3 linked regions of the Neurospora crassa OR74A genome follow. The protein of the gene in region 3 interacts with the protein of the main gene of each other region in a biochemical or structural test. Links are inferred from orthologs where the notes say so. Each region holds a gene or a part of one and is shown on either strand. Other genes may lie near its edges.

Region 1 (3,895 bases), on a different chromosome or scaffold from region 3:
TCGCCGCGTATCACTGCCAAGACAGCAGCAGCAGCAGCAGCAGCGGCTGTTGAGGACTAGTCTTGCGGGAAATGCCAGGCGGAGCACAATTGGAGCGCCAAGGAGCAGTCTGGATATCAGTGGGCTGTTGTCTGTTGATGAGAGTAGTCCCATGATGAGAAGCAGTCCAAGGGTGAGGAGGTTGCACTAGAATGAAGGTCCGCGGTGGTTCGGAAAGAGAAACAAGGGAGGATTAAAACTGAGGAGTTGTGGTAGGAACGGTCAGCAAGCATCATTCAATAACAGGTCGTTTGAGTCTGGCGCATGGAGTCTTGGGATCATGGCAGTATGGGTAGCTACTTGGTGGCTTGGGAAGCAGGATTGAATAGATAATGTCCGTCAAAAGACAACTTTGATCTTCGTTACAGCAATGGTCTGGTCTATGCAGTGGTAGTCTACACGCAGTTCTGATTAACTGTCTGTTATACGCTCAATGATTATCCACTTCACGTTTGTGGGAGCCCATATATAGCTTCATGATTGATCAGTGGATTAAACCAGATAATTGAACCTCATTGGTTGGAGAACGGATTAAGAATGATTAAAATAATTAGGTACCACAAAAAAACCAAAAAAAACCGACTTCTGATACTACCCGAACGACTTAACAAACGCGAACTCCCCGGCGCCAGCATGCAAAAACCAAGTCCGCCCGCAATCTACCAAGGGCAACCCATATCCATGCCTTTTCTATCCCACAAGGTAGTCAGCCACTTTGACCTAGAACCTTCCGTTTTCCTCATCATCCATTGGTATTACCCATCGTTAAAGCCATATATATACTATCCCATCTTTCCTTTGCATATATATGGTCTCTTTTCTCGTTTCCATCATTCTTGAACATATCGCTTTGCCCCGCGCAGCAGCAGCAGCAGCAGCAGCAGCAGCAGGAGGACCACTCCGCCGACCAACATATCCCTCCATCTTTGTCTTTTTCTTTTCTTTCTTTTTCTCTCTTCCAAGTTCAGAAAAACCTTGACCTTGGAAGGATACTAGAGATACCTCACGTAAAAAAAGAGGAACACCACGGCAGCGAAAAAGGCAAGCCACACCCTCCACCCGACATTGGTCTTCTGTGCCATGATGAGCATTCGGTTCATGGTACCACGGAGTCGGAGGCGGGTTTGGTCGAAGGATTCGTTCATCTTCTCGGCGAGGGCGGAGGAGTCTCGAATTTCATCGCCGATGGCTATAGTCATCTGTTTGTGGGGGAGGGATGGGGTTAGTTGATGGGTGGCTTGCGAGAGAAGGAAGTGGGAGAGAGGGAGGAGAGCAGAAAGAGAGAACAAAAACATACATCCTTCAAAATCTTGACTTTACCCATTATCCCTTCCACCTGCTCATCATTCTGGCTCTCGAGTTCGTTGAGGACTGCGTCGCTGTACTGGCCCCTTGAATTTGGAGTAGCAGGCCTAAACCCGCCCCGTTCCATCCCCAGTGTTGACGAGCTGCCGTTATAACTCCCACCGCCACCATAGCCGCCCCCGTACCCGTATCCGCCGCCACCGCCATACCTTGCTGGGCTGGCGTTGGCCGAGCGGCGCTCGGCTGCGCTGGAGCCAGAGTAGCCCTTGAAAAGGTCGCTGCGCGGGTCGCGCTGGTGTAGAGAGGAATGTGCAAATCTGTACTCCGGAGAAAAAGAAAAGCGGACTAATTGTTAGAAGGGTGTTGTCTTGTCTTGTTCGAAGGATTAAGGGGTTGGTGGGATGGGGGTTGTGGTGGGTGGTCAAAGTCGAATCGAGGACGACCCGGGGGCATGGTGGATGGATCGAGTTGACGCTTTCGGTTTCGCTGTCATTCTCGCTCTCGTCGCCAGTGCTGCTGTGGTTGCGCCGCTGTTGCGACTGCATCACATCACGGTAGTGAACTCGTATCGTATCCTACCATGGCATGGTTGGAGGCGTGTTGGCGAGACTCTGAAACCAGAGCGATGACGTAGTTGAGGCCGTCGCGCCATGACCAGGGGGGGCAGGTCGAGAAATCGTGACTTGTCAAACCAACCACCATAACATCGATAGCTGCTGCCTTTGGTCCGCAGATATCTTCCGGTGGCAATATCGTACACCCGTTCACCGGAGCCGGGCAGCTCGGTCGGCCGCTCGCTTCATCGCGTGTCGGTCGTGGGTTTGGTCGAGTTGACAGGCCAAGTCGCATTTCGAAATGTGAAAGGTGGCATTTGCGTGTGGTGTGGTGCAATGCTAAGACGAACGTACAAGAGAATCGCACTCACCTGGAAGCCATCATGGAGAGCAAATTTAGGTCGATCCGTCTTCGAGAATCCTGACAGGTAAATGCTAGCTAACTTGTAAGAGTGTGGGTAGGTATTAGAGATGATGAATTGGCAGGTTCCATAGAGGTAGCGTCGGGCGGGGGGTGTGCGGGTGGTGAAGAAAGAAAATAAAGTTGAATGCCCGTGGACCCTTGGCCGCCAGCGCCGGCAGATCCCCCTTTTTAGTTTGGGTGGTTGTTAGGCCTGTTCTGGCCAGATGTTACCTTGGTGCGCCGTCCATGTACATAAACTACAACGTCAGTCCGTGTCTGGGTGATACATATGTAATGGCTAAAAGGTACAATGTTGTTCGTGCCGCATGATGCTGACAAGGACACGTTGATTGAACATCTGGGTTGGTGTCACGTCTTCCTCTCCGAGAGAACTTGACACTATTTTCCCCAATGTATCTGGTTTTAATCATTCAATTTTTCTTTATGTCGGAGGGTTCATGTTCGGCGTTGTTCAAAGTCCCTCCGAGAGGTGCCCGTGTTGCTTCCACTGATATTGGCTAATTGGGCGTTCAGCGTCTCCATTCTTCCTCTACCTTTTTTTTTTTTTTTTTTTTTTTTTTTTTCTCTCTCAGCTTGTCGCGTCAGCAATAAGTTGATCCACGTTAGATTGCGCAAGGCGCATAGACTCAAGTATGGACTTATTGAAGCGAATCTAAGCCCAAATCCGAGACTTTCAGAATCGTTGAAGCTTTCCAAGTCGAAGGCATGCATTCTCACAGATGTTGGCGTCAAAGAAGCTGGTGTATGGTACTGCGTAGAATACCCGGTGGATCAGGCCAAGATCGCGAACCTTGTTGGTGGCTGGTGCGATGCTCCGGTTCCTGACGTCTGCTGTGTACTCCAGGAACAGGACCGATATCAAATCTCGATGGTCATAGCAACTCTAGAATTCGCCGGAATATTACCTTTTCATAGGTCAGCCGTAGACATATCACCCCCTTCAGGCTGCCTCGCGGTTAGTTTAGTGGCACCCCATCTCAACAGGCCAACTGCCCTTGAGCTGACAGGGGAATCATCCAATGTCTCCACTTATGGGGGTTAGGTTAGTGAAGACAAGCGATCAAGCGTATTCTGATACACCAACGTACGTAGTATGTTGATACTTTGAAATTGGCTGACAGAAGAGATCGGTCTACCTGAACTGATAAACGAATGATCACTTACACCCTTATCATGTATTGCCAAATTCTGATTGTGGGAACTCCCAACGCATTGAACCAAACAACCCCAGGCCTTATAGCTGACATTCACGTACATAAATAGGTCCAGCCAATCAGGCTTAGCAATCAGCCAAAAGACGGCTTACATCTCCAAGCTCGTGATCATCATAAAACTCAACCACTGGCAGCGAGCAAAGCGCAGAGCCAACGGGGAAACCCAGGAAGAAAGAAAACAAGAATCTGTTGTCATTGTTGTTGTTGTTGTTGTTGTTGTGAACCATCAAAGGAAATCAGAAGATAGCCTCGGACTACTCCTCCATTTCCTCATCCTCGGGCACAAACTCCTCGTCGTCCTCCTCATCGTCCTCCTCGGCAGGCAAGTCCTGAGCGGCCTTGGCATAGTCGATCTCCTT
Region 2 (3,990 bases), on a different chromosome or scaffold from region 3:
TTTCCGGCCTAAGCGGTGGCAGCTTCTTCGATTCCAAGCCCGCCACATCCTCCCACCAATCCAAGCAGTCCATCAGCAGCCCACTGGGCTTCTCATCAACCCCTCCTCCTGCGCCAGCCTCTAAGCCCGCGCCCGCTTCCTCCGCCCTCGGTGACCTGTTTGACTTTTCCACAACAGCTACTGCTACTACCGCTCCTCCCTCGGCCGCCGCCCCGAAGCCTTCATCTGACTTCAGCTCCGCATTCAACCTTTCCAAGCCCGCCGCAACCACGCCGGCCCCTGCAGCCGTTACTTCAACAACACCAAACCCTCTTGCCTCTATTGCGACGTCTAACGCCTGGTCAGATGCAGGTGTATGGGGTTCCAACGAGTGGGCCTCCGCCCCTGAGCCCCCCAAGCCTGCGGCTCCTGAACCGCCCAAGCCAGCACCTGTTACCTCTATCCCTCTTTCTAACGATTTTGGATGGGGCAACAGCACCACCACCTCCTCCACTACCGGCGGCTCCTTCGCAAGCCAACCTATTGTCCCCAGCGCTTCGGGCGGCTTTGCCCCAGCACCAAAGGTGGCGGCCGATGAGGAGTTTGGGGGCTGGATGAGCAGCACTACCACACCAGCTGCTCCGAGCGGATCCAAGCCGGCTACCGGTTTTGGTGGCAGTGACGACCTGTTCTCAAACGTCTGGCAATAAGAAACCTTAGAACGACAATTCAGGGATCTCCGACATGGGGTTCAGAGGTAACCGAGTGCAGTCTACTGGGATTTTTGCTGTTGTCCTCGCGCCTGATGCCGACCATGTAAATATATAATCAACCGGCAGGTGATGTGAGAAATAGCTCGGACAAACTTATACCAAACCAAACCAAACCCATCAAGCGTCCGAACTTGTTTTTCCTTCTATACCACCTGACTGGAAAGGGGATGCTATCCACGAACACCATGTCGTACTTATGCTGTGGGAGTCTGATCTAGTTAAGAGTTAGGCAAATGATGGTTTATGCGTGACAAATAGGGGAATGATGAACAACGCAGTCATTCTTACATCAGCAAGTCATGTTTTGTTTTGGCATATTTACATTATAGACAACAAGTTATTGTTCGTTGGTAGGGCAAAAGTAATGCACTTTTATATAGGATCCTCCTATCTTTTGTAAGGTGTGTGTTGCCCTCATTAATGTCCTTCTGATGTCCTTGAAGTTTCAAAATGAAAAATCAAGGATGAGACTGAGAAATGTCGATGTCTGGCTTATACGACACGACGTATCAATGACAACCTAAGGTACGCAGAAACCAAATCCCAAATAAACAAACAAAACCGAACCGTCAACGCCATTGCTATGCCTTTGCATCTACCCGTCTGTTGTCGAGACAAAACATTAAGCCCAGTCTGTAAACCAAAATCCACACTTCGTTCAGAATCCACCAAAACACAGACCTACGGTCCTGCGTGACCTGCTACCCTCCCACCCATTGCCCCACCCTACATTGCACCTCCTCTGCGCAATACTAGTAGCGGCTTTTGTGGGAGCAAGCGGACTGCACATCGCCTGTACCAGCACTCCAACATCCAACAAGCTATCCGGACAAGCTCCATCCTGTCTTGATGTCCGGCTTCGCACGCATCCGTCTTATCATTCCTGATATTTGTCGGGAATCGAATCGTGCCGCCCTCTACATCCTTCGCCCTGTGTTGTTGTAGTGAACCCGATGAAGAGAACCTCCCTTCCTTTTGCTTCCTGGCATGTATTCGCATGTCGAAGTTCAATAGACCCAATAGACCCAATATTCAAACGACTTTAGCCCTCTCACACGTCGTGACTTTTTGAATCATTTAACCAACAAAAAGTCGATAAAGATAGTAAATGACCAGGAAGCTCCCAATAAGAATACCCGAGAGCTTGAGAATGGCGACCTTGTTCCCCGATGCGGCCATGCGGCCTAGACGGGTGGCGGAACCTTTGAGTTGAGAGCCCATGGAGGAGAAGGTATCGGTCTGTTCGTTGTTGGTGGGACTTGTCAGTTTGTTATTTTGTGCAGAGTAAAATCAAAGGAACCGTACCGTTTGGTCGATAACTTCGTGGTTGCGCGCCTGGTCGTAAATGTCAATCGTTACACCTCGAAGGGCAGAAACCTTGGAGGCTAGCTCGTCGAGGCGCGCATTATTTTGGCGCTCGCGCTCGTAGTTTGCGGACATCTTGATAATGGTAATGGGGGGGGGTTGTGTTGTGGTCGTAGTTGTATGTTGCGACTCGCTCAGCGGCCGTGTGGGAGGTTCACTCGTCAGTTTTGAGTATCGGGTTAATTGGAACTCGCTGATATGGCCCGAGTTTCGTATTATCGAAGATGTTATTACGTGTTATTTTGTCGCGCGCGCGGGGGTCGGCTTCGGTGTCTTGCAGCGTCCGTTGTTCGGAGTGAAGCCGTGGTGTTCCTAGGTATTGCTGAGTGCTATGGGGATGTCAAAAGGGGGTAGGTTGTAGCAGGTTCCAGATGCACTCAGTTCAGGGTCACAATGAAAGGACACCGGGATCATGCATCCATCATGATGGGGGCGGCCGGCTCACTGCAGCTTGTTGATGCATACACCAGCCACAGCTACGGCCTCCTAGTCGCGAATGATGTCAGTTTCGGCCATTTACGTGTGGCTGCGCGTAAAGCACATGCATGGTCAATGCGGGGTCTTTTTCGGGGGGAGCGGAGCCTGCTGGAGCCATTTGATTGTGCTCGTGGTCGGGCCACTGCAACTTTGGGTCCCGTCAGTCAGTCACCTACGTAACGACGAACGCCCGCTCTGCTCTGCCCGCTGGACAAGGCCCGGGTATTCAAAGTGGAAGGTGCAGGGCGCAGGGACGGAGTAAAGTAGAGAAGTAGAGGTACAGTAGTGTACGCTACTGCACAGCCCACGGCGGCAGTGCTTGCCCAAGCCCATCCCAGCGTCTCCAGTGATTGAGGGTCCAGTGCTACAGTTCTCACATGACGCGCGGCACGAGCTCCAGCTTCCATTTCCAAGTACTTCCATTTCAAATGTTGACTGTGATGAATTCCATGCCACTGTTTAGCCTCGCTCATCAGTTACTCCGATCTGTGAAGAAGAGGGAAAAAAACAAACTCTCAAACGGACAGTTACACCAACAAAAGAGCACGCACAAAGGCTTATCCTCCGGGAACAAGATCGTTCATCACGAACAACAAGTGACCCCAAGGATCTCCCCAGCATCTTGACAAACCGCCGTTGTGGGGACGCCCAGGTACCAACCTCGCATTTACTATGTACACAAGAAATTGACCGGGCTGATCTGCTTACTTGCTTGCCTGCCAGTGTGCCTGCAGGCATTGATCGGCCAGTGTCCCGAGAAATGACTGACGAACTCCATCTCTTTCTTTCTTTCTAATATTTCGCTGTCGCTGTCGCATTTCCACGGCATTCTCACCGCAGCCGCTCTACACGCCCTCGCCCTTCAAGACCCGCGCCAGTCCGCTATAGGGAGTTCCGCTTCGACACTTCAAGATGGGTATCAACAACCCTCTTCCGTCGTCACTTTCGTGTGAGTTTGTGTCCCCGGGGTTCCCGTGCTGTGCGAGCCCGACCCCGCAACTCCCCTTCGCTTCGCCGAATCCGACATCCTAACACGTCTGTAACCAGCGGAATGTAAGAAGTGCGGTAAAATCCTCGCCTCCTTCATCGAGCCCAAACAAGCCTTTGGTCCCGACAAGGTGATACCGCCATCAGTGCTCGCGAATGCCAAGGTACGAAACAGCATCCGCAACCTCAACGAAAGCGACCAGGTGGTTAACGTTCTCCTAGGGTCTTGCTATACTCACCGTCATCAAAGCTGGTTTCCTCGGATCTGCCCGTTTCGGTAGCGGCCTGGTAGTCGCCCGCCTCCCCGACGGCAGCTGGTCTGCCCCCACCGCCATTGCTACGGGTGGTGCCGGCTTCGGCGGTCAGATCGGTTTCGAGCTTACAGATTTCGTTTTCATTCTCAACGACG
Region 3 (4,257 bases):
CATAAACATCGTGATGCAACCATGAATGCTTGATAGCGCTTTTGACCAAGTAAAGTAATTATAATCTGATATATAGCAGCTCCTCACTTCCACCCCTCACTCTTCCCCTTCATCTTTGGCCATCAATCTACGAAACCTCCTTACCCAACCTCTCCAACTCCTCCTTGATAAAGCTGCCAGCATTAAGCAACTCCGTACCACCATAAATCACCCTCCTCTTCGCACGATCTCCCGTCGTCGTTCTCGCCGCCCACTCCTGCAAATTGCTGTATTCGGCCGTGCTCGCACCGCCAACCATGAACACAATCGCCTCCGAGAACCCCTGTCTGCGTTGCCCGAAACTGGCCGTTTGGCCCGGGCCACTTGATCCTGGCAAGCCACCGGGCCCGCCCAGGGATGACCCGCTCCCTTGGGCCCGCATGGCCGACGGCTGGGGCATGGTGCCGCGCGCGTTGGCGCTGCGCGGGTCGAAGTAGAGGTAGTGTTCCGTCTTGGCGATGGCCGAGGAGCTGGCGGCCGATGGGTCCATGAGGGACTCGGTGATCTTGGTTACCGTGAGGTCGCGGTCTTCGGGGAGGAAGTTCTTGATGCCACCCAAGAGAGAGGCCACGTTATTGGAGAGAGCGCCCGTGGGCACGCCCGTCTCCTTGAGGCGGTCGGTGAGACGGCTGGAGATGGCGGAGAAGCGGTTGAAAAGGTCCGAGGACCCGGATTGTTGCTGGTTGGAGGATGAAGGATTATTTACCGTGGTGAGTTGTGTCATTTTGGTCGTGGCGCGGACTCTGTGTGGTATTGTTAGTCAGAAATGGCTGAAAAAGCCCAAGAAAAAAAAGGGGGGTAGCACGTACTGCTTAATGTAAGAGAGGCACGTTGTGTCGCAGCCCTTGGCCGCGAGTGCCTCCTCAAATTGCGTCCATTCCTGACGAGACACATCCTGTTCCGTGCTGAGGTACCAGATCACAAAGAGACGCAGGTAATCCTCAGGCTTGCCCTTGTCCGCCGTCTTGATCTGATCCAGCACTTGCGCCTTGGTTTGCTTGAACACGTTCTCCTCCAGTTGGAAGTAGTTATCCAACTGTCGGCTTTGAATCTCGCCAAGGATAGCAGCAAGGATGTTCATGTGCATATCCAAAGTGGCTTTTCTTGCGCGCAGTTCGGGCAAGAGTGTAACAGCTGCTTTTAGATGCTGAGCACTTGCACTCGAGTCTTGTTCGAAATGGTCCAAATCCCTAACGCCAGTCTTCTTGGTGAGAGCATCCGCCTCCTCCTTGTATTTCGTGAGTTCAATGTCGATGTCCTCGGCAACCTAAGCATCCTGGTTAGTAGACCATCCTCAGGATGTCCCGTCTGCACTTCCAGCTTACCTGAGGGAACGGCAGGCATGAGTTCTTGGCCCAGAAGAAATCATCGGCAGCCAAATCATACGTCTTCTTGTTGGTGCCCTTGGCCGGGTTATTGGAGTCCACGGGGCTCTCGATTGTGATCCGGTTCGATTCCGACAAACCAAAGACGTCGGCGCATAAACTCTGGTAGGTCCACGAGTGGGACAGCATGGGAATTAGGTCAATATTACGGTCCATGATAACGAGCAGGGGCTTTGGCGTTCCAGTGCTGGAAGCGGCTGCCCTGTGTGCCGAAAAGAGGTTGTCCTTGGAGTTGAGAATATGATCGCGAAGTTTTCGGTCCAATTTCGTTGCAACCATCTCAGCAGCAGCACCCCTGGGGCAGCGAATAATGGGAATGACGCCTAGTGTCACCACCACGCTAAACAGGCCGCTGACGATCCTGTCGATAACTCTGTCCAACTCCTCATCTTGTGTCTTTGCGCTATTCAACGCCCAGTATGTATGCTCCTTCTGCATGCCCAGACTGAACAAATCCGGCTCGGGAACGATAAAGTTGAGGTACTGGTCGAATATCTGGGCAATCTTCTCCGATGTGCCGGCGACAGCGGTTTGCGCCGCAAAGTCCTCCAACAGTGGCCGTGGTACCGAGGAGAGGAAGTTGATGCTGGCAGAGTTATAGAGGTTCTTCTGAAGATCATTGGTGATTTGCTGGAGGTTCTTGGCGTTCGGTTCGATAAGGTAGATGGCATCGACATCAGGAATCGGTTGCCTGTTGGCCGCGATGGAAACGTGTAGCGTGACGCCCATGGATCGCAGATCCGAAACCTGGAGTACTGGGCTGATGACATTGCGACCAAGCTCGTCAAAGACCAAGATCTTCCACGTGGGAATGTCCTTTAGCAAGGGGGCGGAAGCGGATTGGAAGCCATTCGAGTCGTCGCCGTCGGTCGGTTCGAGGGGTTGGTTGAGGTTCAGGAGCTTCTTGATAGACACTAGAGAGCATGTGTCAGTCCACCGCAAGACTGTCTGGCATTGTGACCCTTGGGGATAGGAAGGCAGTGGGACATACAGATCTGCTTGTCGCGCAGAGAGTTCCCTGGTGTTGGCGCCATGTCTGTGTATTAAAGTGATTGCTATGCTGGTCGGCAGGAAGTTCGTGGAGGAGGACTCGGGGCCGAGGTGCTGTAGAATACTGTAGGCTGTTGAGGCAAGTGGAAGGGAAGGTAGTAGCTCCCGTCTCGCTGTCACAGTGGTGGGGCGGCTTGTGATCGCGTCCCTTGAACCGAATTATCGCTAGGCTGGCCTCGAGTCGTTGGCCTTTTCGCAAACTTTGAAAGAGAGCCGCAACTTTTTAAAGACGAAAGAGCAAACGTGTTAAGATGTTACAGTACTGAGTCCAGAAGATCCTTACGTGTTCAATAGTACCTAGGTATACAGAAAGCTGACGTGAGGAAACAGAATATCTCCGTTGAAGCTACCTTGGGTACCTACTTCTGGAGGTATGTTGTCTTCTCTGGTCCGCAAGGTACCTGACATCTCTCCCTCGGCTTGGACCAGTGGCCTTTGTCTCCCAGTGGACTGTTTACCCCTTCCCTTCTATATCCGCTAACCTCCACTTACAGGAGGTGCCGCCCTGAGCTGAGAGCTTTCCCCCACAGTAGAGGTATGACGAGGATTCCGTTATCGTCCTCCAATGTTCGATTGACACCGCAACCAGCAAGTTGTGACATCTTCCTGTCTCTGTGGCGTTTACCTTTGACTGTTCCAGGAATGGATGATTGAGCCCGTGCGTGTCATCGCTGACAATTTACCATGTCGTCCGTCTTATTTGCTCTCGATTTTCCTATATCCGTAGAAGTGTAGAGGTATGATGGACAACTTCAAGGTCCAGAGAAATACCTTCCCTAGAGGTAGGTTGGTACGTACCTCTAGGTATTTTCAGTATGTCTGCTCCTGCCATAACCTGTCTGCCTGTCTAGAGGTAGGTAGAAGTAGCGATTAAATGGTAAGGTACAAACACTGCTGCAATTTCCCACTGATTCCTGCCCCCAGCTGGCGCGGACCCACCCAAAACCCAACAAACGGCCGGTTCCTCTTTGGTTCCAGGTATCGTGCCAGCGTGCTACATACAGAAATCCAACTTCCCAGGGGCACTTCCACCTTCACTTGCCACGCGCACTGACCACAGAAGCTCTTGCTACACGTGTGCTGACTTCCACTTCGTTGCGTGCCTGGGCCATTTTTGGAGAAAGGCCCGTGATCCGCCAGTGCCAACGAGCGTCGGCGGCCCGTGAGCGCTAGCGTGCCAGCCAGTCAATGCACTCCCGTCACTGGCAAACTCGTTGAGAAAGCGCCTGCCCACTGCACTCATGCACCCGCTTGCCCAGTCGCAAAGCGTCAGTCCCTTTTTATGAACGGCGGAACGCACCTGATTTGCGCGACCGCTGCTCACGTTCAACTTTTTTCCTTTCAACTCCCGTCGTCACCCTGACCTGACATCAGCAGCATCTCTCCTTTCTTCGACGACCAACTTGTCGCCCTTGGTCGCCTTGTCGCATCGCCCATCGTCGTACTTGATAGTCGCGTCCTTTTCTTCGTACATCTTTTCCCTGTTCTGGCAAAGCTGTAGAGGCGATTTAAACGCGCAGGTTTTCTTGACGTCTCGGGCGTTTTTCTGCTTGCGCGACCGTCATTCGGAAGTCGTCTCTTTCCCTGGCAGCTGCAGTCGTCCGATCGACCTGCGGCCCTGGCTTTTGAAGATTAATTTCGTTACCTGCCTGCTCAGCTGAGTTCAAGGTCGGGACCTCTCCATTCTTTAACCCGGGATAGAGAGGAAATGCTGTAGCGAACTGCGATAATCTCATCGCTGTTGTCTTCCGCGCACGCGTGGGGGAGATTCGTGACGAGTTTG

The links.
Region 1: the proteins of NCU04252 (region 3) and NCU01741 form a complex in vitro, tested with the Saccharomyces cerevisiae proteins (2 studies listed by BioGRID). The link is inferred for Neurospora crassa OR74A from reciprocal best matches to the Saccharomyces cerevisiae genes SLY1 and BET1.
Region 2: the proteins of NCU04252 (region 3) and NCU03889 form a complex in vitro, tested with the Saccharomyces cerevisiae proteins (2 studies listed by BioGRID). The link is inferred for Neurospora crassa OR74A from reciprocal best matches to the Saccharomyces cerevisiae genes SLY1 and SFT1.

Annotation. Positions count from the first base shown.
Region 1 is NC_026502.1:2,582,573-2,586,467, forward strand, and holds NCU01741 (SNARE complex subunit), read right to left. Parts: upstream 2,499-3,895; 5' UTR 2,284-2,498; coding exon 2,270-2,283; intron 1,662-2,269; coding exon 1,337-1,661; intron 1,239-1,336; coding exon 1,032-1,238; 3' UTR 534-1,031; downstream 1-533. Other genes in the region: NCU01742 (hypothetical protein), read left to right, coding at 1-190; NCU01740 (histone H2A.Z-specific chaperone chz-1), read right to left, coding at 3,791-3,895. UniProt on the Saccharomyces cerevisiae protein: SNARE required for targeting and fusion of ER-derived transport vesicles with the Golgi complex.
Region 2 is NC_026506.1:2,053,410-2,057,399, reverse strand, and holds NCU03889 (SNARE), read right to left. Parts: upstream 2,801-3,990; 5' UTR 2,193-2,800; coding exon 2,058-2,192; intron 1,992-2,057; coding exon 1,830-1,991; 3' UTR 690-1,829; downstream 1-689. Other genes in the region: NCU03890 (stromal membrane-associated protein), read left to right, coding at 1-689; NCU03888 (DUF500 and SH3 domain-containing protein), read left to right, coding at 3,507-3,543, 3,642-3,745, 3,804-3,990. UniProt on the Saccharomyces cerevisiae protein: Vesicle SNARE required for retrograde transport within the Golgi complex.
Region 3 is NC_026505.1:5,366,391-5,370,647, forward strand, and holds the start of NCU04252 (SNARE docking complex subunit), read right to left. Parts: upstream 2,851-4,257; 5' UTR 2,459-2,850; coding exon 2,416-2,458; intron 2,339-2,415; coding exon 1,365-2,338; intron 1,307-1,364; coding exon 849-1,306; intron 783-848; coding exon 128-782; 3' UTR 1-127. UniProt on the Saccharomyces cerevisiae protein: Able to suppress the functional loss of YPT1. SLY1 is essential for cell viability. May interact indirectly, or directly with YPT1.